Danio rerio: one gene and its partners. The protein of the gene in region 7 purifies or fractionates together with the protein of the main gene of each other region. This does not show direct contact. Links are inferred from orthologs where the notes say so. Each region holds a gene or a part of one and is shown on either strand. Other genes may lie near its edges. The genes, in order: si:ch211-140b10.6, polr2h, polr3c, polr3g, uxt, gpn1 and polr3b.

Evidence for each region.
Region 1: the proteins of polr3b (region 7) and si:ch211-140b10.6 purify together in Homo sapiens (affinity purification with mass spectrometry; 6 studies listed by BioGRID and IntAct, with this or other methods). This does not show direct contact. The link is inferred for Danio rerio from reciprocal best matches to the Homo sapiens genes POLR3B and POLR1D.
Region 2: the proteins of polr3b (region 7) and polr2h purify together in Homo sapiens (affinity purification with mass spectrometry; 5 studies listed by BioGRID and IntAct, with this or other methods). This does not show direct contact. The link is inferred for Danio rerio from reciprocal best matches to the Homo sapiens genes POLR3B and POLR2H.
Region 3: the proteins of polr3b (region 7) and polr3c fractionate together in Homo sapiens (co-fractionation; 4 studies listed by BioGRID and IntAct, with this or other methods). This does not show direct contact. The link is inferred for Danio rerio from reciprocal best matches to the Homo sapiens genes POLR3B and POLR3C.
Region 4: the proteins of polr3b (region 7) and polr3g fractionate together in Homo sapiens (co-fractionation; 4 studies listed by BioGRID and IntAct, with this or other methods). This does not show direct contact. The link is inferred for Danio rerio from reciprocal best matches to the Homo sapiens genes POLR3B and POLR3G.
Region 5: the proteins of polr3b (region 7) and uxt purify together in Homo sapiens (affinity purification with mass spectrometry; 3 studies listed by BioGRID and IntAct, counting the BioPlex papers as one, with this or other methods). This does not show direct contact. The link is inferred for Danio rerio from reciprocal best matches to the Homo sapiens genes POLR3B and UXT.
Region 6: the proteins of polr3b (region 7) and gpn1 purify together in Homo sapiens (affinity purification with mass spectrometry; 4 studies listed by BioGRID and IntAct, with this or other methods). This does not show direct contact. The link is inferred for Danio rerio from reciprocal best matches to the Homo sapiens genes POLR3B and GPN1.

What each region holds. Positions count from the first base shown.
Region 1 is NC_133199.1:25,556,467-25,560,487, reverse strand, and holds the start of si:ch211-140b10.6 (protein POLR1D-like), read right to left. Parts: upstream 2,801-4,021; 5' UTR 2,714-2,800; coding exon 2,691-2,713; intron 2,398-2,690; coding exon 2,323-2,397; intron 35-2,322; coding exon 1-34.
Region 2 is NC_133197.1:38,621,830-38,625,763, reverse strand, and holds the start of polr2h (DNA-directed RNA polymerases I, II, and III subunit RPABC3), read left to right. Parts: upstream 1-1,134; 5' UTR 1,135-1,440; coding exon 1,441-1,513; intron 1,514-3,035; coding exon 3,036-3,119; intron 3,120-3,635; coding exon 3,636-3,729; intron 3,730-3,934. UniProt on the Homo sapiens protein: DNA-dependent RNA polymerase catalyzes the transcription of DNA into RNA using the four ribonucleoside triphosphates as substrates.
Region 3 is NC_133191.1:14,591,516-14,595,684, reverse strand, and holds the start of polr3c (DNA-directed RNA polymerase III subunit RPC3), read right to left. Parts: upstream 2,801-4,169; 5' UTR 2,708-2,800; intron 1,275-2,707; coding exon 1,128-1,274; intron 1-1,127. Other genes in the region: rnf115a (E3 ubiquitin-protein ligase RNF115), read left to right, coding at 3,385-3,582. UniProt on the Homo sapiens protein: DNA-dependent RNA polymerase catalyzes the transcription of DNA into RNA using the four ribonucleoside triphosphates as substrates.
Region 4 is NC_133180.1:52,724,112-52,728,200, reverse strand, and holds the start of polr3g (DNA-directed RNA polymerase III subunit RPC7), read right to left. Parts: upstream 2,801-4,089; 5' UTR 2,781-2,800; coding exon 2,670-2,780; intron 2,505-2,669; coding exon 2,375-2,504; intron 1,849-2,374; coding exon 1,780-1,848; intron 942-1,779; coding exon 877-941; intron 809-876; coding exon of another isoform or gene 801-808; coding exon 747-800; intron 657-746; coding exon 531-656; intron 1-530. UniProt on the Homo sapiens protein: DNA-dependent RNA polymerase catalyzes the transcription of DNA into RNA using the four ribonucleoside triphosphates as substrates.
Region 5 is NC_133183.1:10,253,194-10,257,140, reverse strand, and holds the start of uxt (protein UXT), read right to left. Parts: upstream 2,801-3,947; 5' UTR 2,583-2,800; coding exon 2,500-2,582; intron 501-2,499; coding exon 419-500; intron 236-418; coding exon 168-235; intron 76-167; coding exon 1-75. Other genes in the region: zgc:86609 (ER membrane protein complex subunit 3-like), read left to right, coding at 3,444-3,598. UniProt on the Homo sapiens protein: Involved in gene transcription regulation. Acts in concert with the corepressor URI1 to regulate androgen receptor AR-mediated transcription. Together with URI1, associates with chromatin to the NKX3-1 promoter region.
Region 6 is NC_133192.1:13,860,909-13,864,964, reverse strand, and holds the start of gpn1 (GPN-loop GTPase 1), read right to left. Parts: upstream 2,801-4,056; 5' UTR 2,630-2,800; coding exon 2,597-2,629; intron 2,394-2,596; coding exon 2,300-2,393; intron 1-2,299. UniProt on the Homo sapiens protein: Small GTPase required for proper nuclear import of RNA polymerase II (RNAPII). May act at an RNAP assembly step prior to nuclear import.
Region 7 is NC_133193.1:16,768,184-16,771,683, forward strand, and holds part of polr3b (DNA-directed RNA polymerase III subunit RPC2), read right to left. Parts: intron 3,340-3,500; coding exon 3,264-3,339; intron 1,259-3,263; coding exon 1,158-1,258; intron 1,063-1,157; coding exon 971-1,062; intron 850-970; coding exon 732-849; intron 1-731. UniProt on the Homo sapiens protein: Catalytic core component of RNA polymerase III (Pol III), a DNA-dependent RNA polymerase which synthesizes small non-coding RNAs using the four ribonucleoside triphosphates as substrates.

The DNA of each region.
Region 1 (4,021 bases), on a different chromosome or scaffold from region 7:
GCGCTTGTTTGTGCTTCCCAGTGGACATTTCATCCTAAAACAAAACGGCAATTTAAGCAGCTTTAGGAGACATATATAGTAGTTAATTACACACATACATACATACATACATACATACATACATTCCATAGATATATACACTATCGCATATGGTTCCTGAGCATGCGTCAATTGCGCCGCCACATTTGTACAGTGCTCCCAGGACATCATTCAACTGCACTAATCAAGACTAAAGCCAATGTGAAGATGCTGGACTTTAGCACTGCTTACGGGTGTAGTAACAAGCAAACAAAGAAAACCAAGCACAAAGGCAGAACATTTCATAGGTAAGATTTCGTTTTTTATGTTTTTGTATGTTACAAACTGGCACTCAATTCTAGACTTATGCTAGTTTTGTTGAATAAAATGAGATAACAATGTAAATGAAATATAACAAGAAGGTGCTGCTGTGAAAACTTGTATTATTGTCAACTAAGTGATCAAGTCCTTCTTAACAGAGATTCATTCACAAACGAATCCCTCCCTCCGTTGGAATGAAAAGTGAAAGCAGGAGAGGGGGTGTGTTTAAGGACATGAATTAGATCAAATTAAACAGGGAGGGTAGATAATACATTTCCATGCACACAATCACACACTCTTTGCCAGGAATGCCCATGCAATCATTTATCCATCAATATAGAAAAGTGATGTAAACTTATAATTTTTGTAATTTCATAAAATATTTGCATACTGACCAATGGAAAACCCCCCGATCGTAAATAAATGTGTATATGTGTATATATGGATGGCCAGTCCTCCGCTGCACCTTGAACCCACATTCATTTTAAAGAAGCGCTACCCTGTACTAAAATGGCGACTCTATCGACAAATTCCTTTCAATAGATGAAAAAAGCGTAGGCAACATCTAATGTAAATGTCTATACATACATACATACTGTACATACATCTTTTGATTTGGAGGACGATAACCAACATTTTAAACATAAATCGCGTAACCTTCACAGAGCAAATTAGCATGCAACTTGACTGTTGCATAAAAATAATAGGTTAAATGACAGAACTGTATTTAATTAACAAACAAGTTAAATACATATATTTTAATAAAATGAAAAGGAAAATGAAAGAACTAAGGACTGAAGCCAGCTCAAATGTTCTACAATTATTAGTCATTTGACACTTTTGTTACCGCACTCCCACAAGATTCTCCCGTAAAAACACCAGTAAAAACGATTACACCCAATTAAAAATAAATATTTCTTCTAGCCATTTTCCAATGAATACAGCCAATCATCTTTGGTTTATTTAAACAGAACAGTTATATGGTTCAGTCATTTAACACCTTCGAGGATAGAAAATAATACACTTACAATCAAACAAGTTTTTGCAAAAAAAAAAAAAAAAAAGTATTTTTCCCGTTTATTAATATATTATTTAATATTTTCCCCCAGTATATTAATTAAGGTGTACTGATTTTTGCACTGTGATCTTAAATAGTTTTTTTTAATTATAAGCTTGTCATAATATCTATTTTTTCTTGTATGATATATTGCACCAACATATATTATGATGAACAATATTGTCATTTTGAGACCATTTTATGCCACTTATTATATAATGCCAAAATGACAATATAATAACATCAAAATGCAAGTACACTCTTCTAAAGACCACATAATATTTTATTCTTAAGGATGTTTCATTTAATTTATAGTCATTTTAACTTTAATAATGAGGCAGGGGAATCAGCATGTGAAAACACATATCCTGAATAAATAGTAGTAAAAAGTGCAATGTAAAAAGTAACAGAGGCTGCAAGATCTGCTACCAGATCTATTTTCAGTTGTCAGACACCTGCATGAAAATATACTACAGTAACATAAAGAGGTTGCACCATCAGCTAAAATGTTGCTAGAATTGACTTTTATATATGGGCAATATATATTACATCACCAAAAATGATAGATGTCATGTCAATGTGTTGTGCGATAAGTCGATATATTGATTATTGTGAAAAGCATATTTGATTAGTCACAGTTTTGGCTTTTGTACCTTAAAATCTAAAGAGTTTGTGCAAAATGCATTACTGTAAAGCATTTTATACTACATATTAATTTAAAATACAGATCTTTAAGGGGTGTACTCAGTACTGTATATATACATACACAGGTTTAAGTTCACATCCGAAAACCAAAGTTACACCCTTGTGTGTGTGCGCGTGTGTGTAAAAGAGTGGGGGCAATAGTGGTTACTAATAATAGAAAAAGACTTCAAATTGGTCACTTTAAATATCTGTAATTTATCAATTTAGTGATCCAAACTTACCATCCAGCAGGACCCATTGTCTCGACACGGGCTTTTGCTCTGTTCGCTTCTTTAAGGAGCTCCTCCACTGCTTTTCTGGGGAAATTATTTACAGTGAGACATTTGACGACAGAAACGGGTTAATTTATGTATTACCGTGACCCCAAATTAAATAGCACGTTTAAATCTCTGACGGTGCAAAATAGACTTTTCTAGGATACCGAAATGTTTGCTATATAACAAAAGTATGGTGCTTCGTCTCAGGTTTTGGTTTACACAAATTTACTGACCAATTTGCACGAAGCCGAGGGCGTTAGCATATTCTGCATCGTAAACTAGTCCAATAAACTGGTCAAAAGGGGGAAAATTGACATTTAGAAATATCATACCTTTCCAGTTCACTGTCTTCCATGATCTAATTAACCTTAAACCGCAGTCACTGTTAATTTATAGCTTGTTCCAGCTTGCTAACCAGTAACGTTAGTGTTTACTATTCTCGAGGACCCAATTTAGGACCCCGGTCCGCTTGACCATCTTAGTTTTGACTAAATTTGCGGAAGTGAGCAGACAGTAAAATTCAAACTAAAAATGTAGAAACTATCTGCACTTGGAACAAAAAGTACGTACATTTAAACAGTCTATTTTAGTTTATTATTTGACTTAATAATAGGTTTTACGATCGCACTTTAATCAGGCATCTCGATGGTCACAACTGATATTCGACTAACAGCGCCGTCTGCAGCCTGTCAAACGAACGGTAGTGAAAAAATCAGAGTCATTTCATCAAATGGTTCATTTGAACAGCAGCTCTGAATGGAACAGTTCAACATGTTCCGACGGTTCTTTACGTCATTACATGATCCCAAAGCGCATTACATGACATAATATCTTTACAGTCTTTTTATTTATTTAACTTATGTAATTTATATTTTAGTTTATTTTATGTTATAGGTTACATTTGTAGTTTTGGATGTCATGTTTAAATTGTATATTTGCTGCTGTTTAATAATAATAAAAAAATAATAAATAAAATAATAAATAAATCAATTAATCTCTTTTTATCTTATCTAAATACATGAATGTTGACAATACTTGCACACTTATCACATCTTTTCTATAACTGTGATGTCTCTTACATTTTAGTATGATGTTAGTGACGTGTTATTTGGGCAAATACATGTTAAAAGATTGTATTTGCTCTTTACACACACACACACGCACGCACGCACGCACGCACGCACACACACACACACACACACACACACACACTCATTAGAGTATGTTGGTATGTTGTTAATTTTTACATGCTACAAGGTTAATATTTTATTCATAAACAGAAGTTTGCGAAGTGTATACCAAAATGCTATTAATTTTTATTAGAAATGGAAACTTTGAAAAAGTTTCTAATGCAAATTAATAACAAAAAAATGACTTGATGTTAGATTTCATGAAGTTTTTTTTTCTGGTACTGATCCCTCACTGTAGTCTGATTGTGTGCCAATCTTTTTTTTTTATTACTAGTTATATTTAATTTAATATTTTTACTTGTTATGTTTTTGTTTTAATATTATTTCTGGATGTGGCTTTTTGCACTTATTGTAATGGTCTTGGATATAGTTTGTGTCTGAATTTTTATTAATACATAGTGTTATGTTTTAATGCTTATAATTAAAAAAAACTTGATCAAATATCTTAATTCTAAGTCACTTGTGAGCAATAA
Region 2 (3,934 bases), on a different chromosome or scaffold from region 7:
AGATTTGTAGTAATTTGTGCTTCGAATCTTTGAATTTCGTGGTTAATGGGAAATCGCTGCATTATTTTTTTAGTAACGTTTATTAAAGTAATATTAACATAGTAATAGTGACAAAGCACTTGTTTTAATATTGATATATGCTAATATTGATAAACAAATAACAATTAAACAAAACTAAGAATTTATGAAAAAAATGCTTTATTAAAACAATCATGTTTATTCATAATTTAAATTCTCATTTAAACTATTTATGGTTATGAATAACTAAACTAAAATAAATAAATTATATATATTTATAATATATTTTATATTTACTTACTAACTTTTATATTCATATTAACCTTTATTAAAGCAATTTTACATGACAAATATTACATGCATTTCTGTACATATTTATAACATACAAAGTTGTATTTTAATATGTATTGTTAAAAAATTATTAAATTATAAATATGTACACAAAACATTAATAAATACAAAGTCAGTTTTGACAAAGATAATAATAATAAAAATAATAATGATGATAATAATAATTTTATTAATGATAATAATAATAATAACATATTATGTATATGCATAATATGTTGTTATTATTATTATCATTATTGTATATATATATATATATATATATATATATATATAAAATATGCATTAATCTGGTATTTATGCAGGTATGTTCACTATTATGGAGGACGGATTAGAATGTGGACAGATTAATAATTAAATTAATAACATGGTTATGGGGCATTTATTTGCGTATTAATTAATTTATTATTTTATTTATGCAGAAATGTGTATATTAATTAATTAATTAATTTATTTATTAATTTGCGTATTTATGCATTTATTGTTTTATTTATACAGGAATTTGTGTACTTATTTATTAATAAGTTAGTTAATTTATTTGCTTATTTATTTTTTTATTTATGCACGAATTTGAGTATATTTTTATTTATTTATTTATTTGCGTATTTCTTTGTTTATTTATTTATTTACTTATTGTTTATGCAGGTTTAATCCTCCATATACTATTAAATAAACAAACAAATAAATAAACAAATAAACAGGCAAAAAAAAAATAAAAAGATCGAATACGCTACTGTCGTAAAAAGCGCGCCACGAACCGGAAGTAGTAGTGAATCAAGTGACCAGAGACGAAGCACATTGTTTCGCGGCATGTTTCATATTTGTGTTGAACGAAAAGAAAGTTGCTTCATTTTACAGTAGTTTTATTATTAATATTTCTGAGCTGGGACGAGTTTACGCACAGTGTATCTGCAGGAAGTGCACCAGAAAGCGCTTATTCAAAACAGCATTCAGCAGGAGAGTGTTTGAATGAAGCGTCTCCGTCGAGTTTTGTGTTGATTTCTACATAATTTAGTTTTCAGCGGGATTTTAATTCACCAAACTGAGCATTTAGTGTATCCTGCTGGAGTATAAATGGCTGGGATTCTGTTCGAGGATATCTTTGATGTGAAGGATATCGATCCTGATGGGAAGAAGTTTGACAGAGGTGATTCATTCATTCACTTATTTATTTACTGGATAAAACAAAAGTCTCTTCAATGTGTTTTATAACGTTAGTTATTGATAAAACTTACAAACAGCATGAAGATTTAGATTGAGGAAAAGTTGGTTTATATTCGCACATTCCTTCATTTAACGTTCTCCATGCTCACATGTAAATCACATGTAAACATACATGACTTCACTATTTAAAGTTTGCAAATTATACTTTTATTTAATGATATTATTAAGGAGAAAGTCTAAATGTGCGTATATAAAACTACCTCAATAAGGTTTATTTGTTGGTTCGATTATTTATCACACAATAATAATTAGACTTATTGTATACTTATTAATACTACTTTAATGATGGAAGTTGAAGAGCTTAAAACTTTTTAATTTTTAATTTAGCTCATTTTCTTGATCATATATATTTAATATTTATTTTAAATGGAAAAATATGAATATATTAAATTAAAAATGTATTTTTTTACATTGTCAATGTCAATTTAAATGCAAATAAAACAATTTTATTGTTATTACTATTATTAATAATATTAATTATTATTTGAGATTTTTTTAATATATATTCTCTTTAATATTCTTTTTGTTGATGCTGCCTAAATAATATGCAGTGATCAAAATTAAAAATAAAATCAAAACATACTGCGTAAAAGGCATATCTGAAGGCAGAGCCGTTTATTTAATTACTGTTTTTATATATAGAGGTAAAGTTGGTTTTATATTTGCACATTCGTTCATTTTGCAGTCTCTATATTGTTGACCATGTTACTTTGAGTTTTCGATCGGAATTAGCACGCAAGTATGACTTGTAAACAACATTAACACTGTTTATCTGAATGTGAACAATGTTGTACTTTGATAGTCATTTGCTGCTAACATGATTTCCCTATATTTAGTATTGGCAAATAATACTTTTTCTTAAAATATTATTAAGGAGAAAGTCTGAATATATCCGAATATAAAACCAACTTTACCTCTGAAGATTTTTTTTTATCATACAATAATAATCAAGCTTATTGCATATTTATAAATACTACTTTAATAATGGATGTTGAAGAGCTTAAAGTTTTAATTTAACTTGTACATTTACTTGATCATATATATTTAATATTTACTTTAAATGGAAAAAATATTAATATATTAAATAAAAATTAATAGTATATTTTTACATTGTCTAAATGTCAATTTAAATGCAAATAAAACAATATTATTATTACTATTAATAATAAGTGTTTTTAGTACTTAGAATTTTTAAATCTATATTCTTTAATATTCTTTTTGTTGATGCTACCTAAATAATATATAGTGATTAAAATAAAAATAAAATCAAAACAAACTGCGTAAAAGGCATATCAGAAGGCAGAGATGTTTATTTAATTACTTTATTTATTTATTTATTTATTTATTTTTTTTTTTTATAAATCAACCACTATTATTTTTCCCCCCTAAAAGTCTAGAATTCACTAAACACTCTTGATTTGTTGTTTTGTATTTGTGATGATCAGTGTCTCGTCTTCACTGTGAAAGTGAGTCTTTCAAGATGGACCTCATCCTGGACGTCAACATCCAGATTTACCCTGTTGATCTTGGTAAGTCACTGTTCTTGCTCTCTGTGTTGTTCTCTGGGCTGCATAGAGGTAAAGTTGGTTTTATATTCACACATTCAATCAATGATGTCATGTGCAAACAACCTATAATCCATTACCTTTTTACATTTTCATATTGTTACTTGTCTACTTATCTGTTAATTTGGTCATTGCATAAATAAATGATTAAAAAAAACAAACAAATAAAGTAATTTCTCCAGTGTTTTGTTCAGACGAACGAAATTGTATGATTATAAAAAAGGAGGCGTGGCACCTAACCCCACCCCTAAACCTAACCGTCATTTGGAGATGAGCAAATCGTACTAAAATGTATGAATTAGATCGTTCGAATTCGTACGAATTAGCCACTAAATGAAAAAGTTACGAATTGCCGTGAGATTGTGTTGGTTTTATCAGCACTCCAACAGTATTTACATGTTTTTCCGGTATCCTGCTGCCCTAGTGATGATAATGTTGTGTTGCTGTCATATGCTAATGAGGATGATGTCATTGTGTCAGGTGACAAGTTCAGACTGGTGATCGCCAGCACTCTTTATGAGGACGGGACGCCGGACGATGGAGAATACAATCCTCAAGACGACCGGCCGTCCAGGTCATACATTACTCCTAAACTAAATCTTAGATATTTCATGTCTACGATCAAATCAAATCAGGCCTTTATTTACACATACACTTTCGTATAGTGAAATAGAACCCCAAAAATGTAAATTAATTACTAATGACATCATTAAAGTTGTTTAAATGACTTTTCTAGTGTCATGACTGATGGGCAACTTTTTTTAATCAATGAGGAATTG
Region 3 (4,169 bases), on a different chromosome or scaffold from region 7:
ATTGAAGTCAGACTGCAGACGGAAATTATTGAGTCTCTACCCAAAGATGAAACCTCAGCATTAGCCCGGCATTGAGCAGTTGGAAACTACTGGAAACTACATGCTACAAAGAATACTTCATCGGTCGTTTGTTAAAGAAAGGATCAGTAAAGACTGCTGATGGACATGCCAGGACATGGATCGGTTTCTTCCTCCATTTCTTAAGTGTAAGTACGTGCGATTAAAGTTGTTGCCTCGTTTACTCTAGCTTGCAAATGTATTTAGTTATGATTTGTTACTTATAACCGCTTGTACTGTATCAGGTTAACTCGCTATATTCTCGTATCGTGTGCAAAGCCACGTTAAAAAATGTGACGCGTGCCGCTTTGTTTGCGGACCTCTGTGGAGGAGGGTAATGTGTGTGTGTGTGTGCGCGTTGTCGTCCGGAGGAGGATTATGTGTGTGTGTGTGTGTGTGTGTGTGTGTGTGTGTGTGTGTGTGTGTGTGTGTGTGTGTGTGTGTGTGTGTGTGAAAAGAGCAGAGTGTGACAAGCTAGGAGATCTCCTCGCCAATTCTTGGAGTTTTTGCTCAATAAAATAGTTAGTCGTTGGTATTTTCAAGTCCATCGCCTGTATTTACATTCACCCACTGGCAGCTAAAATCCACACCTTACAATATGAAGTGTGTATGCACTGTGACTACTTCTATATTGTTGATTAGCTGCTGGGCATTTCACTGTCTCTCGCTGAAGGTAGTCAGTGTCGACCAATCGCAACAGACTGTCATCGGTCCAATCAGCGCAGATTAGTTTCAAGCTAAGGAGGGGTTTGGGAACAAATGAATCACTGGACGATTCATATGGTAGTCGCTGGGATAATTATGTAAAAATAAATGCAAATTATAAGACCATGAAAGTGTTTTTTGACCTTGCATGCATATTAGACTGTTGTTGGAGACCCTTACAGCCCTATTTCATGTATAATATGGGCTCTTAAAAAATATAAACATTTCAGATTCCAATTTTTTTTTTTAATAGTTTTATTCTGTTTGGATTTTGGAAACAATGGATATCCTATCCTAACAAACCACACATCCAAGAGAATCTTATTTTTTAAGCTATCAAAGAAAGCTTTAAATAGTGACATTACCAGGTCAAGAGCCAGTTTGGTCTCATGGGCAAGAGCTCTCAAGGTCAGAACTCCATTGCGGATGAGATGAGTGCCCACATTTTCCACCACATCACCAAAGTGCTCCTGCAGCAACAGCCCACACAGACGCACCTCCTGTGCTGTCATCTGTAGGACAGAGAGCAACAATCAAATCACAATCTGTAGTCAATTTATCTATGAATAATGTATAATTCTTTTTAGACATGTCAACTTGCAAACTAGTGTTGGTTGGTTTTTTTGCTCTAATTGCACAATTAGTTTTTTTCCAGCCTATTCTTGTTTCAGACTTGCACACAAAACGCATTGCAATCAATTTCCAAAATGTCACTTGTGGGAAAATATTACAAAGCCTGGGATTTTAACAGAGACCAGAGATGCTGAGAATGGATAACAAGACAGAACAGCACACAATATGCTGAACCAGGCAAAGTAAGATTTTTGTAAGGATCTCAGATTTTTGTTCTTTATTAAAAACACTTTACAAATGTACAAACCTTGTCATTGTCCTCAGCCAAATTGAACGTTCAGGTTTAATAATTTTGTGATGCTAAAAACTGTTATTTAGAAAAAAGAAAAACTTCAGAAATAGCAAGTTTAAGTTGCTATCATACACGTAAACTGATTAAAAACATGAAATTATAAAGTCTACAAATAATTACTACAAATATATATTACAAATACTTTTACAATTGTCCCCATGTTTCTGTCAGTCCTGTCACATTTGCCTTAAATTTAACATAAAATGTGTGCTATACACCTTTAAGGCTATGACTTGGAAGTGGCATCATTTGATGGGGAAGCAGACATCAAGGATACATTCTATCATTAAACTGTTTTATTTTTTATTTTAATTATTTATTTATTTATTTATTTTTTTGAGGAAGACAAGCTTAAAGGTCAGGCCCTGTCATTTATTTTATAAATAAAAATGTATGTTTCTGGTAGAATGTCTCATATATTTGGAAATCATTAAATCTAATTTGTACAGAGCACCTTTGTATATGCCTCATATGTAGTTTTCTATAGGTCAGCAACTAAAAAGGCAAATCAAATATTGTTCATGCACTTGATGTTCTTGTTCAGTCACTTAATGTAATCATTTTTCAATGTGTGCATACAGTTGTCAACATTTAGTGAATCAACTTTGATGAATATGTTGACTAATATGTTATCAGTTATTAATGTTTACATACATGATTTCGTGTTATTTATGGTCTACCCACATTTCCTTATTAATAAAACTGCTCACAATTTTAATATTACAGTTTTCCTCCTTAATCTGTAACGTTTACCTGTAACCATCAAAAATACATGTAAAGTCTTGTAACTATACATGGAGTTACTAGAAACACAAGCTACACAAGCTATAACTAAAAGCATCAGTTTAAAAACAAAACATTTTGTCAACAAAGTGCAAAAGTAAACATTCATATTTGCGTTTTGACTGGCTACTAACACTGGATTAGCGCAGAATTAGTTGTTGTCTGGCCTTTCCACAAAGCAAACATCTCACAAAGGCTAAACAAAGCACAGATGCACATGCTTAAAGACAAACTTACCTCTAAAAAGTAAGTTATCTAGATATCCGTATGTGTTATTTAGATGAGTTCACACTTTTTGATCTCACGTGTGTTGTCCAGACGGTGTGCAACGACAAGCACTGACGAATTTCCGTGGTTTGATCACGTGGAGGCGGAGCTCTGGTGTGTGAAGCTTGAGTGAATCGCTATCATGAACGGAATCTTTTTGCGGATCAAAAGAACCGAATGAATAATGAAAAATGAATCACTGTTTACTCACACTCGGGTGTTTTTTATGAAATTACTTTTTTTTATTTGAATAAACAAAAGGGTATTTTGAAAAAAAAAATGTTAGGAAATATCAGTTTCAGGAAAAAATACTATTTAAGTAGTTTTTGTTTTGTTTGTCAGAAGTCAAACAGGTTTGTAGGTAGAAGAATATTTTTTTGGAGTGAACTACAATTATCAGAGTAAAGTTCAATTAGGTGAATTACATGCTAACATATAATATTAGACTGACATAATAGCATATATAATAATATGTAATGGTCTTTTTTTGTTTTAATTTTACATTGTTCTCGAATAAAGCCCTCTCTGATCCCTGTAATACTAGTAAAACGCACACTTCACACAGCCTTATGTAAATAATTTTGACTCAGTATGTTGTTTTGATCAGCTCAGTCAAACGACTCCCCTGAGTGAGTCGACTCGCCTCAATGACTCGCACTACTGAGTGCTCATTGCCAAAGCACCTCCCTCTGCAGTGGGCGGACCGACGCTCGGCCAGCGCTGCTGCTGCTGTTGCTGTTTGGGACACAGGCAGTCTCACAGAAAACATGGCGGAGGCTGCTGCGGTCCCTCCGCATCGCTTCTTCTGTCACTGTTGTAAGGGTGAAGTGAGTCCCAAACTACCGGTGAGTCCGTGTCGCTGGTAGCGCGCAGCCGGCTCAAGTTAATGTCTTTCTGTAGTTCTGCTGTCGCTCTCGCAGGTTCCGCTGTTGTGCTAAAGTTAGCATGTTAGCAGTGTATCAGCCTGATGTGGGCGAAAGGCCTGTCGTGGTTTGTTGTTTGTGTATAAACACTAAAAAACACATGTATTTACCGATGACCGGTTTTATTAGATGTTAGACAGGTGCTTGTTAACGTAACATAAGCGGAAACCAACAGGTTTTGTGTTTAGCACCAATGCTACACTCATTTCTTGTGTTTTTGTACTGTAAATGATGACTTTTTCACATTTCACGACATGTTCAGTTTTGATAAGTGTTCAGTTATTAATGTCAGCTTTTAGAAACTTTCAGAAATGTCCTTAAATCACATCGACACTGAACTCTTCTCAGAAGTGAAACCGGAGTGCTAATGTTTCTGTTTCTGTTTTACTTGTTTATAATGTCGCATTTGCCGTAAATTATATCACAAATTCTGCAATGAACGTCAACATTTAGCACTTGGTGGTCAGTGTGTCAGTAGGTCATTAGATTGTCCCGGTGAGGATGAGTAG
Region 4 (4,089 bases), on a different chromosome or scaffold from region 7:
TACACTGCCCCTCCAGGGCCGACTTTGGACACCCCTGGGATAAGACAATATTTAGTCCATAGGTCTCAAACCCAATAAAGGTTTTTTTCTCAATATTTAAATTTTTACAAACCCTCATATTCCAGATTTAGTCATGAACACCTTCATCCCTCCAGGAATTCAGTTTGAGATGATTTAGTCTATGCAACTACTTGAAAATCTGGAATCTGAGAGATTGTAAAAATCAAAAGATTGAGAAAATAACCTTAAAATTTGACTAAATTATGTGCTTAGCAATATCCATTAAACCAAACTTGATTCTAATATATTTACCATGGGAAATTTACCAAAGAAAAAAATCCTTAATATCAATTTCATATTTTAATATCAATTTTAATATCTTAATGGTATTTGACAGAAAAGTAAAATGTAAGACGTGTCAAGGGTCAAATGTAGCCTTATTTTAGCCAAGTTTTAGCCATGTTTGGATGCCTATTACATGTATTCAACAAACAATAAATAAAAATGCTCCCTGAAATAAAAGCGTATACCTCTTCAAACTCTTCATCATAGTCTCCTTCAATTTCTGCTTCCTCTCCTTCCTCGTCATCCTCTTTCTTTTCTTTCTTCACTTCATCCTCCTCATCAGATTTGACATCTCCCTTCTTCTCAAGTTCCTGGAAATAAAAACAAGCGCAAATGAGATGGCTCCAACCAAAAATATCTGTTTACAGTAAATCGAGAAGATGAAAACAGCACGAGCTCACATCCAACTTATTCAGCACTTCTTCTTTGTCCTTAGTAGAGATTTTTACGGATTTCTTCAGATCTGAAAGTATTTAAGTGTATGAGTCATTCAAAACTGCAGTTTGTTTAGGGATTCTACATCTCGATACAATTACCCCTTTTCTTCTTCTTTATGCTCTTCTGTGGTTTTAGCTCCTTCGGAAGACGATTCCAATCTACAAAGAATATCTACAATTTAGTTGAAATTACTCAGCCTTAGGGCTGGTCGATTTGAAGAAACATTTTAACTATTACCATTAATGACCAAATATTTGATTAATTTGTTTTATTATTTTGTCCTCAAGGTTCACTGACAGGTTTTCTACAGTAAATATGCTCACATATTACAAGTAAGTAATATTTGAATGAAGGGTGTATTACTTGATTTAAAAAATAATAATAATTGAATGAAACACTATCTACTATCTATGATTATTTATTGAACATCAATGTTGAACAACTAAAATTAAAACACACATTGTTTAAAACAAACAGTCACTTTTTTTCTTATAAAAAGTGAAAATAACTTATTTGAAAAACAAAAAAAAATATTTTCAGTGTTTTTCATATAAAAAAGTAGGAAATAAGCAGTATCTCTTCTAAATAAAATAACTTTCATATCCTGTAAATAATATTTTAAACAGGGCATTTCTTGCATCTTCTATAAACAAATATTTTAATGTAAATAATCATTTGAATGTAATGGAAAATATGCCATCAAGGCATCTCTGGCACAGCTTCCAATTATCGTCAACATAGTCCAAAGTATGGCTCAAGAATGGATCCATCGTCCTACTTGACCAGAGATCAGATGTGGCTGCAAAGTGTGGCTAACAGAGCGAGGTCACATGACTCCACACATGACAGGGAAAGTAATTGAAAAAAAAAAACTGACCTATAAAAATTAGATCGTTATAAATCATATATCGATTATAGGTTCTAAAGCTTTCGATTTCAATTACTTTTCCATTAAATCGCCCAGCCCTATTTAGCCTATTTCATTTAAATGAATACCTGGTGTCCAGTCTTCATCTTCAAGTTTCTTTATTTCCCGCGTGTATTTTTCCTTGTACCTCTCCACATCTTTAAATCACACACAATAACATCGTGAAAAATACTGATATGCTTACAATAATAAATATATGAAGAGTTAAGATGCAAAAACCTCTAAATGCCATCTGAAATTTTCATCTAAAATGAGTATTTTTATCAGTCTCCTGTGTGTATGTTCAGTAATATCACTTTTATGGCAAAGAATGAGCCCTTTTCCTGGTCTTGAAAGTAAAATATCTTACAAAATAAAAAAGAAAAAGAGGCTGAGAAAAACGTTCATTTCTGATGGAAATTTCAGACAACACTTTTTTTGCATCCAAACTCTTCATATACAGTAGTTGTGACTCATGGTCAAACTATACCATATCAGTTATACTATTTCACTTAAACATATAGTTAAATGGATTTATTGTTTCTAGGTGAGTTAAAACATAGCATTGCCCCCAGTGCATTAACTCATACTCATCTAATTTTACAATTATCTAAATTATTAGACTCGTTGTAGGAGGCAATAGGTATTGTGTGTTCCTAAAATTAAATAAAAGCTCCATCTCACCTCCCTTTCCTGCATGGTGCTTTATGTTAAAAGGAAGGTCCTTCATTCGTCCTCTCATCTCTTGTTTCAAAGCTCTCATATAATCTTCATCTTCGCCAGCTTTCAAAGGCCCCGGTTTATATTCGATTTGCTGTAAGGTGGAGTCGTGTGTCTTTAAAACTGAACCTTCTGAATAAACACTTTCTGACCTTGCTGAATCAGATTTTTAAAGTTTTGAGAAAGAATGGATGGAAAGAGAAATATCCATTTGGGAAATTGATGGAAGAATAATAACAAATGGTTCAGAATAGCTCACTGGGAAGAGTGGAGCTGGTCCTCTTTGGGTTTCAGGCATGGATCCTCTGGTTAGACCCAGGGACTCTATGTTGAAGGAGAATGCTGCTACACCTCTTCCCTTTCCAGCCATTTCTGATCAGATAAATTTTCTCTAAAATCATTTGGATGAAATAATTTTATATTAGTTTAATAAACAAGCAAATATTCATTCACTCATTTTCTTGTCGGCTTAGTCCATTTATTAACCTGGGGTCACCACAGCGGAATGAACCGCCAACTTATCCAGCATGTTTTTACGCAGCGAATGCCATTCTAGCCAAACCCCTCCCTGGGAAACATCCATACACTCTCATTCCCACTCATACACTACGGACAATTTGACCTACCCAATTCACCTGTACCACATGTCTTTGGACTGTTATGGAAACCTGAGCACCCGGAGGAAACCCACGCGAATGCTGGGAGAACATGCAGACTCCATACTGGAATGCCAACCGACCCAGCTGAGGCTTGAACCAGCGACCTTCTTGCTGTGAGGTGACAGCACTACCTACTGTGCCACTGCGTCGCCCAACAAGCAAATATTATGTAATATAATATAACAGTGAGATACATGTCGTTTTAATTGCATAGTGTCAAGATTTGTTAGCTGGCATCTAAGAACCAATAGCTAGGATGTTGTTGACTACTTTTCAATCCATATTGCTTATACATGCTAAACACTATGAGGATGTGAGGACTACACTGTGATGTCACTGGATGGTGATGTCATGAATAGTGATGCAAAACTGTCAATCAATATAATATGTCCCTTTGTAGTATTTTTGAAGGATGTAAACAAAAACAATGGTCTTAGCATATTTCCTGTTTTACATGTTTAACTTGTATAGCTTCCGAGAATCCAAAAAGAGCCACATATTGATAAATAATGTTATGACAGCGGTTTTAACATTATGATATGGTTGAAGTGCCTCTTTTACAGTTATGAAATAGTTTGATAACAAGCAGGAAATGTTCATAAAATACAGAATGAGATTGTTCAGTAATGCACATAAAATAACATTTCAAATATGTTAATTTAGATTTTCTTGAAAGGTGGATTAAAAAAAATGAATTATTGAACTGCTACATGAATTTGAGCAATCATATGTAATTTATTTTCTTTTAAACTATAAAACTTAATTAAATCAATAGTTTCAAGTAGTGTATTTAATTGTTATGCAACTGTAAATGCAAGAACATAAAACAGGGCATAATGCACTGTTTATATAAAGGATGTATTTATTCATTTATTATTTAATTATTTGTAATTTACAGTCATTTATTGTTATTTATTTTTAACAGTATTTTAAATTATGCATTAAGGAAATCTATGCATAATTGTTCTCGAGACAAGCAACTCTGATGTGTTTGGTTTCCTCTTTTTTTTATTTATTTAG
Region 5 (3,947 bases), on a different chromosome or scaffold from region 7:
TTCAAAGCCTCTGCGTGCGTGAATTCGACAAAGAATCCATATCCGACTGCCACATATATTCTTGATGCATCAGGTCTGGAAAAAAAGAAATGAGATTGCCCTTTCAAAAAATGTTCAACATCTCCACTGACGCACAGCACCACAGACGTCATGCAAACAACACTTACACATGAGCCTGCACATAGAAATTGCAGCCAAGGTCAACATCGGTTTTCAGTTCTTTGCTGCCGCTTTCCTGAAGGTGAATCAAACACAGCCACATATTAAAAGCGCACAAGGCAGAATGAGAGCAACTGAGATGGACAGTAATAGTAAATGTAAAAATTTTTTACACAGCACAAACTATATCTGAAAACAAATAAGTCAGGACATAAGAATAAGCACAAAATATGCAAATACATATGCAAATCTCACATACCTGAATGCTTTGTATTGTGTTCTTCAGCTGCAGGTATTGTGCGATTTTCTCATACACAGCATCTCTTTGCTCCAGCACTTTCCTGGCAGAGCAGAGAGTACTCAAATGAAAAAATACTATAGTAATTTATGGTAAATACTATAGTGTTCTTGAACTATATTTTATTATATTGTGTTCTTCAGCTGCAGGTATTGCCGTATTTTCTCATCCACAGCATCTCTTTTGCTCCACCACTTTCCTGGTGGAGCAAAAAGAACTTACATGAAAAAATACTAATGTATTTATTGTAAATACTATAGTATTTTGAATCATATTATAGTATAGTACTTGAATTAATATTTTGTGGTGACTTTATAGTTATTAACACAACTATAGCATTATAAACAAACAACTAATACTGTGGTTTTCTACAACTACAGGGTTTACTATAGTAAATACTGAAGCACACCATTACAGTTTAACAGTTCACAATATTTATTATATACTTACATATACTAAATAATATAATACATACACTCACCGGCCACTTTAATAGGTACACCTGTCCAACTGCTCGTTAACGAAAGTTTCAGCCAATCACATGACAGCAATTCAATGCATTTAGGCATGCAGACATGGTCAAGAGGATCTGCTGCAGCTCAAACCGAACATCAGAATGGAGAAGAAAGGTGATTTAAGAGGCTTTGAATGTGGCATGGTTGTTGGTGTCAGACGGGCTGGTCTGAGTATTTCAGAAACTGCTGATCTAATGGAATTTTCACGCACAACCATCTCTAGGGTTTACAGAGAATAGTGCAAAGGGAAAAAAAAGTTCTGTGGGTGCAAATGCTTTGTTGATGCCAGAGGTCAGAGGAGAATGGCCAGACTGATTCAAGCTGATAGAAAGGCAACAGTAACTCAAATAACCACTCGTCACAACCGAGGTATGCAGAAGAGCATCTCTGAATGCACAACACATCAAACCTTGAGGCGGATGGGCTTCAGCAGTAAAAGACCACTCTTTGGTGCCACTGCTGTCAGATAAAAAAGCAAACTGAGGCTACAATTCACACAGGCTCACCAAAATTGGACAATAGAAGATTGGAAAAACGTTGTCTGGTCTGATGAGTCTTGATTTCTGCTGCCACATTCAGATGGTAGGGTCAGAATTTGGCATCAACAACATGAAAGCATGGATCCATCCTGCCTTGCATCAACTGTTCAGGCTGGTGGTGATGGTGTAATGGTGTGGGGGATAATTTATTTAACACCACAGCCTACCTGAGTATTGTTGCTGTCAACCCCTAATGACCACAGTGTACCCATCTTCTGATGGCTACTTCCAGCAGGACGCACCATGTCATAAAGCGCAAATCATCTCAGACTGGTTTCTTGAACATGACAATAAGTTCACTGTACTCAAATGGCCTCCACAGTCACCAGACATCAATCCAATAGAGCACCTTTGGGATGTGGTGGAACTGGTGGTTCACATCATGAATGTGCAGCCGATAAATCTGCAGCAACTGCGTGATGCTATCATGTCAATATTGACCAAAATCTCCGAGGAGTATTTCCAGTACCTTGTTGAATCTATGCCACGAAGGATTAAGAAAGTTTTGATGGCAAAAGTGGGTTCGACCCGGGACTTGAAAGGTGTACCTAATAAAGTGGCTGGTGTGTGTATAGTACAATTCACTTTACTATAGTATTGTTTAAAAACACCATTAAAATTACAATAAAGTACTATAGTGTTCCTTATACTGGGTTCCACAGGGTTATTAATTCCTTCATCTTGTCCCAACACAAATCGATCAAGTTAACTTTATTGTTTTTACAAATTTAAGTAAACTGAAATAAAAAAATGTAGTTGTGCTAAAAAAAACTCAAGAATCGTGTTGATTCAGCTCATTTAAACAAGTACTTTGGACAAGCGTACATAATGTTTCCAGAACACATAGTAGCATTTCATAATAGATTAGCTTAAACAATATAGATTAGCATAGAGCTGTATTTGTATGGAATTAACGTACAAGCATGGTAACGTTAATACCATGGCAGCTTCGTGTACGTGCAAAATATCCATATTAAATGATACTTACTGCAGGTCTCGTCTTAATACTTCACTGATGAATGTCTCATACTGCAAGACTTTGTCATTAATAACAGATGTGCCAGAAGTCATGATATGAGATGATAACAGATCGAAGTTTTATTTAATAGCAATCGATGTTTCTAATATTAATGTGCATCAAACATTAACAGCACGTCGCTGGGCTGATGCAGCGATTAAAGCTTACATATGACAGATTAATATATTGTAGTAGCAAATATATGAAGTATCGAGTACGTTAAATGAAGCTAAACCTTCCTTCGGTCTGTCACGTGGCTCCACACTTGTTTACAAGATACGCGGAAACGTCCTCGGTCTAAACCGGAAATGGCGTTAGCTAAACTTTTGTTTTATAGTTTTCCTATAATGAACATCTACGTTTCGTTTTTATTTAATTAATGTTTACCTATTAGAACAATTCTCTCAATAAGACAAATATATTTGTAAATACAATATAATTTAAAGCGTTGACGCAACTTCCAACAAATTCTTTCTCATTCAAAACGTGTTAATTAAAATACCTGATTGCTTCAAAGATTTTATTAGAGCTATATATACCCAATTTCATAAAATATCTGTATTTACTATGTCTGCGAATAAAAACTGTCAAGTTTTAAAGTGACTCGGTACAAAATAGACTCGGTTCAGAGTGTTCATTTCGTGCACAAACCACCTAAACCGGTGTAAGACGATTCGAACAATTCATTTCAAAGATCCGACTCATCAAAACGACTCGTGTTTGAATCGCTACTAGTTCAAAGGTCATACGGCAGCTGCTCAAATGGCGCATGTTCATACAGAAATGTGTCTAAAAGTTATGTAGTTACACCACCGTTTGACTTTTCATCGTAGTATTAATTCCAGAATTGAATATTCATTTAAAAAAACTTTAGAAGTGTCAGTGTTTATAGTTCGATTTCAGTCAGCATAGAAATGGCAGGTCCAGAGCTGCTGCTAGACTCCAGTATTCGCCTTTGGGTTGTTTTGCCCATAGTCTTCATCACATTCTTCGTCGGAGTTTTGCGGCATTACATCACTAAACTCATCCATAATGAGAAGAAAGTGGATCTGCAGCAGGTGTCTGACAGGTGAGAATCAAAAATACAGGTGTTTAGATATAAACAGATACATTAAACAACAATAATCACTATCTGGAGTTCAGAAACAACATCAATCAATCTGTTACGTTCAGAATTAAAATAAAATCAGTTCTGATTGCTGAGTAAGTAGTGTAGAAATATTCCAAGTACCCTTTATATGAATAAATAAACATGTGTAATTAACTATGAGAAATCCTAAGTTCAGAATTTTTATAAAACCTGACTAATTAACAAATCAATTAATTTTGGGGGCTGCACTGATATTTCAGTACAATGTCATCAAATGATTCTTGTTCTACACTGCCCGACAAAAGTCTTGTTGTCAATCCCAGTTGTA
Region 6 (4,056 bases), on a different chromosome or scaffold from region 7:
ATTTTCAGAATATCTTGTTTTGGGTTCAACAGTAGAAATTGAGTACATGTTAGGAAATGTTAACGACTATCCCTTAAATTGGCAAAAACAACCCAGAGTTATTAATTTTTTGCCGTTCCATTGGCTGATCTCAAATCCCGAAAGAAAATGTGGTGCTACATGCTGCAAAAGATTAAATATAATCTAAATGTTACATCAAAAACCTTCATAGAGGCTGAGGTGGAACTGGCTCATTTTAAAATTTCTGGCCTCGCCACTGCATCAAAAACAGTTCTGGCTTAACAGTGCTGCAATTTTTTTGGATGTTAAAATGTTCTCAAAACTTCAACAATAGCTCATTAAGTCCAACAATATCATAACTCATTAACCTAATCCATATCATTTTCCATATATTAATAAAGTCAGCGTGAACCAGAAGTTCCTGCAGATTCTGATCCACTTTTTCCAACTGAAAAAATATAGGATATTTTAGGACATGCAGACGCTTGAGTGGAAATATGTAGGAGACTCGCTGCTTTGGTCAAAATCGAGGGATCATAAGTATGTCCGTATAAGCTTCCCTTGTTCACTTGAATTGAAACACACTTTAAAATGAGGATTCCCCCAAGGGAACAAGGGAAGGGAAGTCTGTGAGTGTGTGCCTAATGACCCTTTCACATTGAGTGGTTAGGTGCGGTATAGTATTATATACCTTTTTTTTGTGCATTTCCACTGTCAGAGGTATCAAAACAAAAACAAGCCTTGCTTTCTACATGCTTTTGGACGACCTCGTGAACAGTAATGGAAGACACAGCAGATTCTGTTCTTGCTTCTTGGCATGTGGCTGTCACAAAAGGATGGCAAGCTTTGTTTTTGTTTAAGCTCGGGTATATGCATTATTATTACTTTGTAGTATCTGAGCTGTGTATTTAAAAATGCCTCTTCTTGTGTTTTCATTCTCCTGGCTTGTGGCAAGTGCTAGTAAACCAATAGCATTTGGCTGCACTCTGGCTTCCCCCTTTAAGTGGTGGGCACGGTTAGTTTTTTTGGTACCTTTGACAGTGGCCGTTTCTCAATATGCGTTCTTCAGCGGTCTTGTGTCCTTGTGTTACGTCATCATCGACTGCCAAAGTTCAGTTCCAAAACTCAAGACCTCAAGACCAGAGGACGAGTGAAAGTTTGTAGATGTGTTCTTGGTATCGATGCAGACTTGAGCACTGACCTCGCTCTAGAAGTCCCAGAAGTCATAGTGACTGAAGGTGGGAAGTGCAGCATTTTATATAGATTTATTATTAAAGTTCAGAGAACTTATTTATCTCAGGAGTTTCCCTAAATGAGACGGTGAAAGTAAGCATTAACATTAAAATCTTAATAAAGGCGTAAACACATTAAGGGTGTTTATTTGCTGAAATTCGTATTAAAATCTGTTTTATTTGTATTGTGTAATGTATGCTTGTAAGGTCTATATTGTGAAAAGGGGAAAAACAATAAATCGTTGTTTGAATGCTGTAATGTTTAAATAATTTCCAATAAAAATGCATGAAGGTCATGAGACCATCAGGAAGAACACAGCATCTCATTTCTTACAGGACATGTTCCGTGTTCTCGTGGTCTCCTGAGTTCGTTCTTCTGAGGTGACCTGGCAAGACCAGTCTTCACTAGAACGCAAGTCTGTTCTCTGCGTTCTTGAAATTGAGAAATAGCCAATGAAAATGAACAAAAAAAGCACTGTACCAAACCATAACACTCAGTGGAATCTGGCCAAAAGGTGACCCATACAGAACCGAACTACACCACTCAGTGGAAATGGGCCAAAAGGTGATGGGTACAGAATCATAACACTCAGTGGAAACAAGGCATAAAAGTGGAGTGGAAGGCAGCCCAGGATATGATCCATGTCACTAGCTAAAACTGCTTATTTCTCTAGATTTGACCATTCTTTTAAAACATTTGGGCACAATTTTGTAAAAAATAGTAAAAATTCAGCAAAATACAAAACATTGTTCTAGTATTTTTTTATTTTAAAATATCGTACGTCTTGTCACATTAAACACGTGCACACTAGAATATTTTGTGTATTATTTAGTTTTTATTAAAAGTGCTAAACACACACAAAAACAACGTGATTATGCATGTTGACAATAATTCAACAGCTTTTATCAAATTAGTCTGGCGTTTCTTAAAACAAAACAAAAAAGTAAACAATGTACTAATCCTGTCATCGTTGGTCTCTGTGAGTGATTTTCGCGCCACCTGCTCTGGATCAACAAACAGCAGCGTTTAGTTATATAGAAATACGGGCAACGTTAATGTGACTTACCGATGTTGGCAGGAAAAGGGACCTCGTGAACAGCAGGATCTAAATTGATGACATATGGAGGAGTTTTCTTGGAGTGCAGGTAAGCTGTGAGCCTCTGGAGAAAAAAAAAAGAAATGACTTGAAATTTGTTAAAATCTGACTCGAGTTAATGCGTAGTATTGGAGTTGGGCGACTGTCAGTTTATCTCATCACAATTATCACACATAACATTGGCAGAATCGTAATCTAGTCAAGTGAATGTTAAATCATTATAATTTAAGACATCTGTTATCACCATCGTATCGCTGTCAGTCTTACCTGCACAAAAGTAGTTTTTCCTGACCCTGCCATGCCCAGAACTATGAGACACACCGGTTTCGGTTCTGTACTGTGTTCGTTAGACGAACTCTGGCTCGGTGTCGGTTCATCATCTTGATCTCTATTTTTAATGTTATCACTTTCACATGATGCTCCATCGTTGTTTCCTGCTGCTGCTGTCGCCATGCTGCTACACTTACCGTCAAGTAATGTTTACTGACGTAAAGAGACGAAAAACATTCTGGCGTAGCGACTTATGACCACTAGAGAGCAGCAGAGTCAATAGGATTTGTTTGCTCTTTATAAAACGTGACTAAATGACAAAATGATCAGCAAATTTATAAATATAACAGGGGGGTTCGAGTGGTTCGAACGTAAATGTGTTTCCCAGTGATGGGTTGCAGCTGGAAGGGCATCCACTGCGTAAAACGTTCATTCCGCTGTGGTAACCGCAGATTAATAAAGGGACTAAGCCGATAAGAAAATTAATGAATTCATAACAATTATCAATATCCATATATGTCAGCATTTTGCAGTAATGTGGAAAAATACAATTGTAAATTTACAGCACAGAAATTATTGTGTGTGTGTGTGTGTGTGTGTGTGTGTCTTTACTTTAAATGGGTGTGAGCATTTCCCCTGCAAAAAAGCGACAATAATCCAATAATTAAACTAACACAACCCAGCAGACACACAGCATCATAAGACGTAAATATTAGGTTAGATTTAGGTCGCCAGCGTTCAAGGACAATGCTATTTTGACCTCCAATAATGACGTGAAATGTTGATATTTTGTTTATTTTAGGTTGTGTTGGAAAGTGACCAAAATCCAACGTCGAGCCAACATCTTAAACCAACGCCATATTGGCGTCAAATATTAACATTTATCCCTCAGGTATGGCAACCAAAATCCAACATAGACGTCACATAACGTCCACACAACGTCATGTAACATCATTAGACGTTAATGTTTTGTTGTTTTTAGGTTGCGTTAGAAAGTTAGCAAAATCCAATGTCGGCCCGATGCTGAACATTGATGTGAAAATATTATCTAAGTTAGTTAAAAAAAATAAAAAATAAAATAATAGTAATAATAATAAGCAAATGTAAATGCATGTAATGCATTATTTGTCTTCATTTATCTATGCACATTTAGAAGAGTAATAAAAGTGTATTTGTCATAAAATATTTAGTTTTACTTATGACCTCAAAAATATGACCTCAAATGTTTCTTTACAAGAATTATCTACCTAGTATTATTAAATAAGTAAACATATGTGTCGTATGCATTTTCTCTGTTACTGCTTTTGTCGTTAACTGAGAGACCTGAGTCAGATTAAAAAGCATTTACTGGCACCGTTTGTATATACCAAAAATAGCTCTTATATCTATCTTGTCTGCATCAACACAAACACTGACGACTTGTGTTTTTTTCCATACGGCTCTGCTCTTCTTCATGG
Region 7 (3,500 bases):
TGTTAACTACTGTACTTTATAATCCTATTTGCATTTCAAACTTTAGCTAACTCTGAAAATGTACATACAATAAAGAAATATGCAACAATGTAAAGATGTTTTTGTTATTACATCTCTCAAAGGAACAGTTCACCAAAAAAAGATCATTTATTTACCTTCAGGATGTTCCCACCTATATAAATGTCTTTGTTCTGCAACTCAAAGAAAGATCTTTGGAAGATATATGAAAGAATGTCAAGTAATCAATAGATCTCTCAACCAATTTACCCCCATAGTTAGAAAAATAATTACTATGGCAGTGTGTGGATGATAAATCCTGTTTGACCTTCTTTCAAACATCCTACTTTGTGTTTAGCACAAAAAGTGTCTAAATTATTAACATTTTTATTTTTTGAGTGAACTATCCCTTTAAAATTCCCCTATTTAGCTTCTCAAAATTGTAAACATACCATATACCACGATAATATCTTCAGAAATTATTACAAAAATATCAGAGCCATCGTAAGCTTAATGGGTAGAATGCTAATTTGTTACAAACCTACATTAACATTCTTCATAACAATTCAGTAAACCAGCAATTGGTTTTGGAGACAACAGTTCGATTATCTTTTCATTTCACATTCAGCTACACAATACATAAAAGTTAGCATCCAAACATAGCATAACAGCACCAATTTAAATCAACTTTATTATTGCGAACGCTAAATACGCAGACGAGCAAATCCCAGCACCTGGTGACTGACGCTCCTACGGTCCCTTTGCGATCTTGATCCACAATGATGCGGTTCTTGGATAACTGCTCCTGAATGAGAATGACCTTTTCTTGCCCTTTCACAATGAAATAACCACCTGCACACAGACAAACACAGTATCATACGTATACCCCATATGGCCTTCAGAGGGGATTTTCTGCATTATACTATGGCATATAAACAGTGAAATATCATTAAGGTCTTCATAAATAATCTACCTGGATCCAGGGGACATTCGTTGAGCTTGGAGAACTCCATTGGGGTCTTTCCTGTCAAGACACAGTTGGAGCTTCGCAGCATTATTGGCATCCTATTAAACAAGGAGACAAAGAGCATTTGAAGTTGCAAGGGAAAAGTAGATGCATATTAAGAGGTGTACGCAAAGATTTAGGCCAGATGTAGTACCTTCCAATGGGGAGAGCGTTGCGGATGATTCTCTGACTGCCTCGGGTGTACTCTATATCCACAGTGATGGGGGCTGAATAGGTCATATCTCTCAGACGACACTAGTGATCCATAAGCAAAATCATATTAAACAAATGTTACAGTATAATCCTATTTTTTTGCTTTATTAAAGTTTGTCTCAAGGCAAGAAACTACAGGTGTTGTTACAAGGGCTGCATGCTTTTGAAAAAATCTGACATTGCGAATATTTTGTTTTGCTGCAATATATATTGCAGTATGAACATATTTTCACCAGATGATTTGATTAGCTCTATTAGGAAAGATTTCATTAATTAGATCAACTATGGCAGGGGTGCCAACTCTGTCCTGGAGGGCAGATGTCCTGCATAGTTTAGCTCCAACTTCCTTCAACACACCTGCCTGGATGTTTTTGTATACCTAGAAAGAGCTTGATTAGCTGGTTCAAGTGTGTTTAATAGGGACTGGAACTAAAATATGCAGGACACCAGCCCTTCAGGACAGAGTTTGGGTACCCCTGGACTAGGGTGATCAAGGCTTTTTCTATGCAGTCCATCATCTTAAAAACAATATATTACAAGCACATTTAAAAATGACAGAGCAAACATAAATGTGAAAAAAAGGTGCTTTATGGTTTTTTGGGGGAGTCTAACAGTATTAAAACATAAAACCTGAACAACCAAATGTTAAGTGACATGGTTAACATTGTATAAATACCTTTATACAATAATATCTTTATCCTTTAATCAATAATCAAATAATGCAATGCGACTCTTGCAGATACACCCATTGCAATATCGATGCTCAAACGATATCGTTTAGCCCTAGTTGTTACCCTTTTCCCCTAGTTGAATGTTTATATTACGAATTACAAGGATTATTTTGCATCATGTTTTATAAAATGTTTTTTAATTATGCAAATTGGCCATATAAATTTACATAGATAGTATATGAAGAGTTTAGATGCAAAAACCTCTAAATGCCATCTAAAATTTTTTTTAAAAATGAGCATTTTTATCAGGCTCCTGCGTGTAGGTTCAGTAATTTCCCTTTTATGACAAGAAACAAATTCTATTCATGGTCTTTAAAGTGCTAATAAACATAGGAGGCTGAAAAAAGCTACATTTTTGTGGAAATTTCAGACAGCACTTTAGAGAGTTTTGCATTGAACTCTTAATAATACACTTTGTAGAAATTGTGTGAATTAAACTGCACAGCCCAAAAGAAACTATGCTAATCAAAAGATAAGAGTTGTTTACTATAAAACAAAAATCATTTATTTATTTTAAAAGTTTAAATTTATGAGGGAAAAGCTTGGCTATGGATTTGACATCTCACCGTTATGGATGTGGCCGATGTAAAATTCCCACTTGTGTGACTTTGGTAATTCAAAAATATTTGTTTGAAAACATTTTCAAAGACATTTTTGAGCATTTTTAAACTGTAAAATACTTGCCTACACATAAATATGTAGAAGTGATTTCATTATTTTGGTAAAAACTTTTTTTCATGGCAAGGTTGACATCTACATGGAATTGCTCATATGAAGATGTTCTGTTAATTATGATGTAATGTATTTGTGCTTGAACTATTGTTTTTAAGAGTGGATTATACTGTTCAAAATAAATGAATCAAATTAAAATCAAATCACCAACATCTGAAAACTGGATGAAGTCAGAATCAAATTGCTTTCAGTTGGAGCCAAATGTTTTTAATAGAGGGAATTTTTGAGAGAAAAATAATTATTTACACAATTTTGCGGTCAAACAAAACACATAATAAGCCAAATTATTTATGAACAAATCCCTCTGTAAAAACCTTCAGAATATAGTTATTAATTAAAGTGGCTCAGTGCAGGAGGAAAATACTAATTTTGAGAAACGGCATTTTTAAATATTAATTGTATTTAAAATGTATTTTGTTTATGTAAAATTGATAAAGTGTGACAAAATACCATTTAAGTGTATTCTGGATGTTTTCTTTTCCATCACACTGAAAACATACCTTATGAAAAAGTTTAAAATTGACAGATAAAGCGTTTCACCTATAATATTAGTAAATTTTGGCACAGATCAACAAAGATGTTACCTCATGTGGAGACACTGGTCTGGTTACATTAAAGCTTTCTTCTACATCAGGCATCCCAACGTAGATATTGAGATATCTAGGGATGGATGAAAAGTAAATTCTCACATACAAAAATAATGTTGTGAATAAATAAGGAAACTAATTTGATGTAAAATAAATATTAATCTAAAATGTAAAGACAAAATTTAAAACAATAAAAAATATATATTGAAACAATACAGCAATAAATAAACTTAA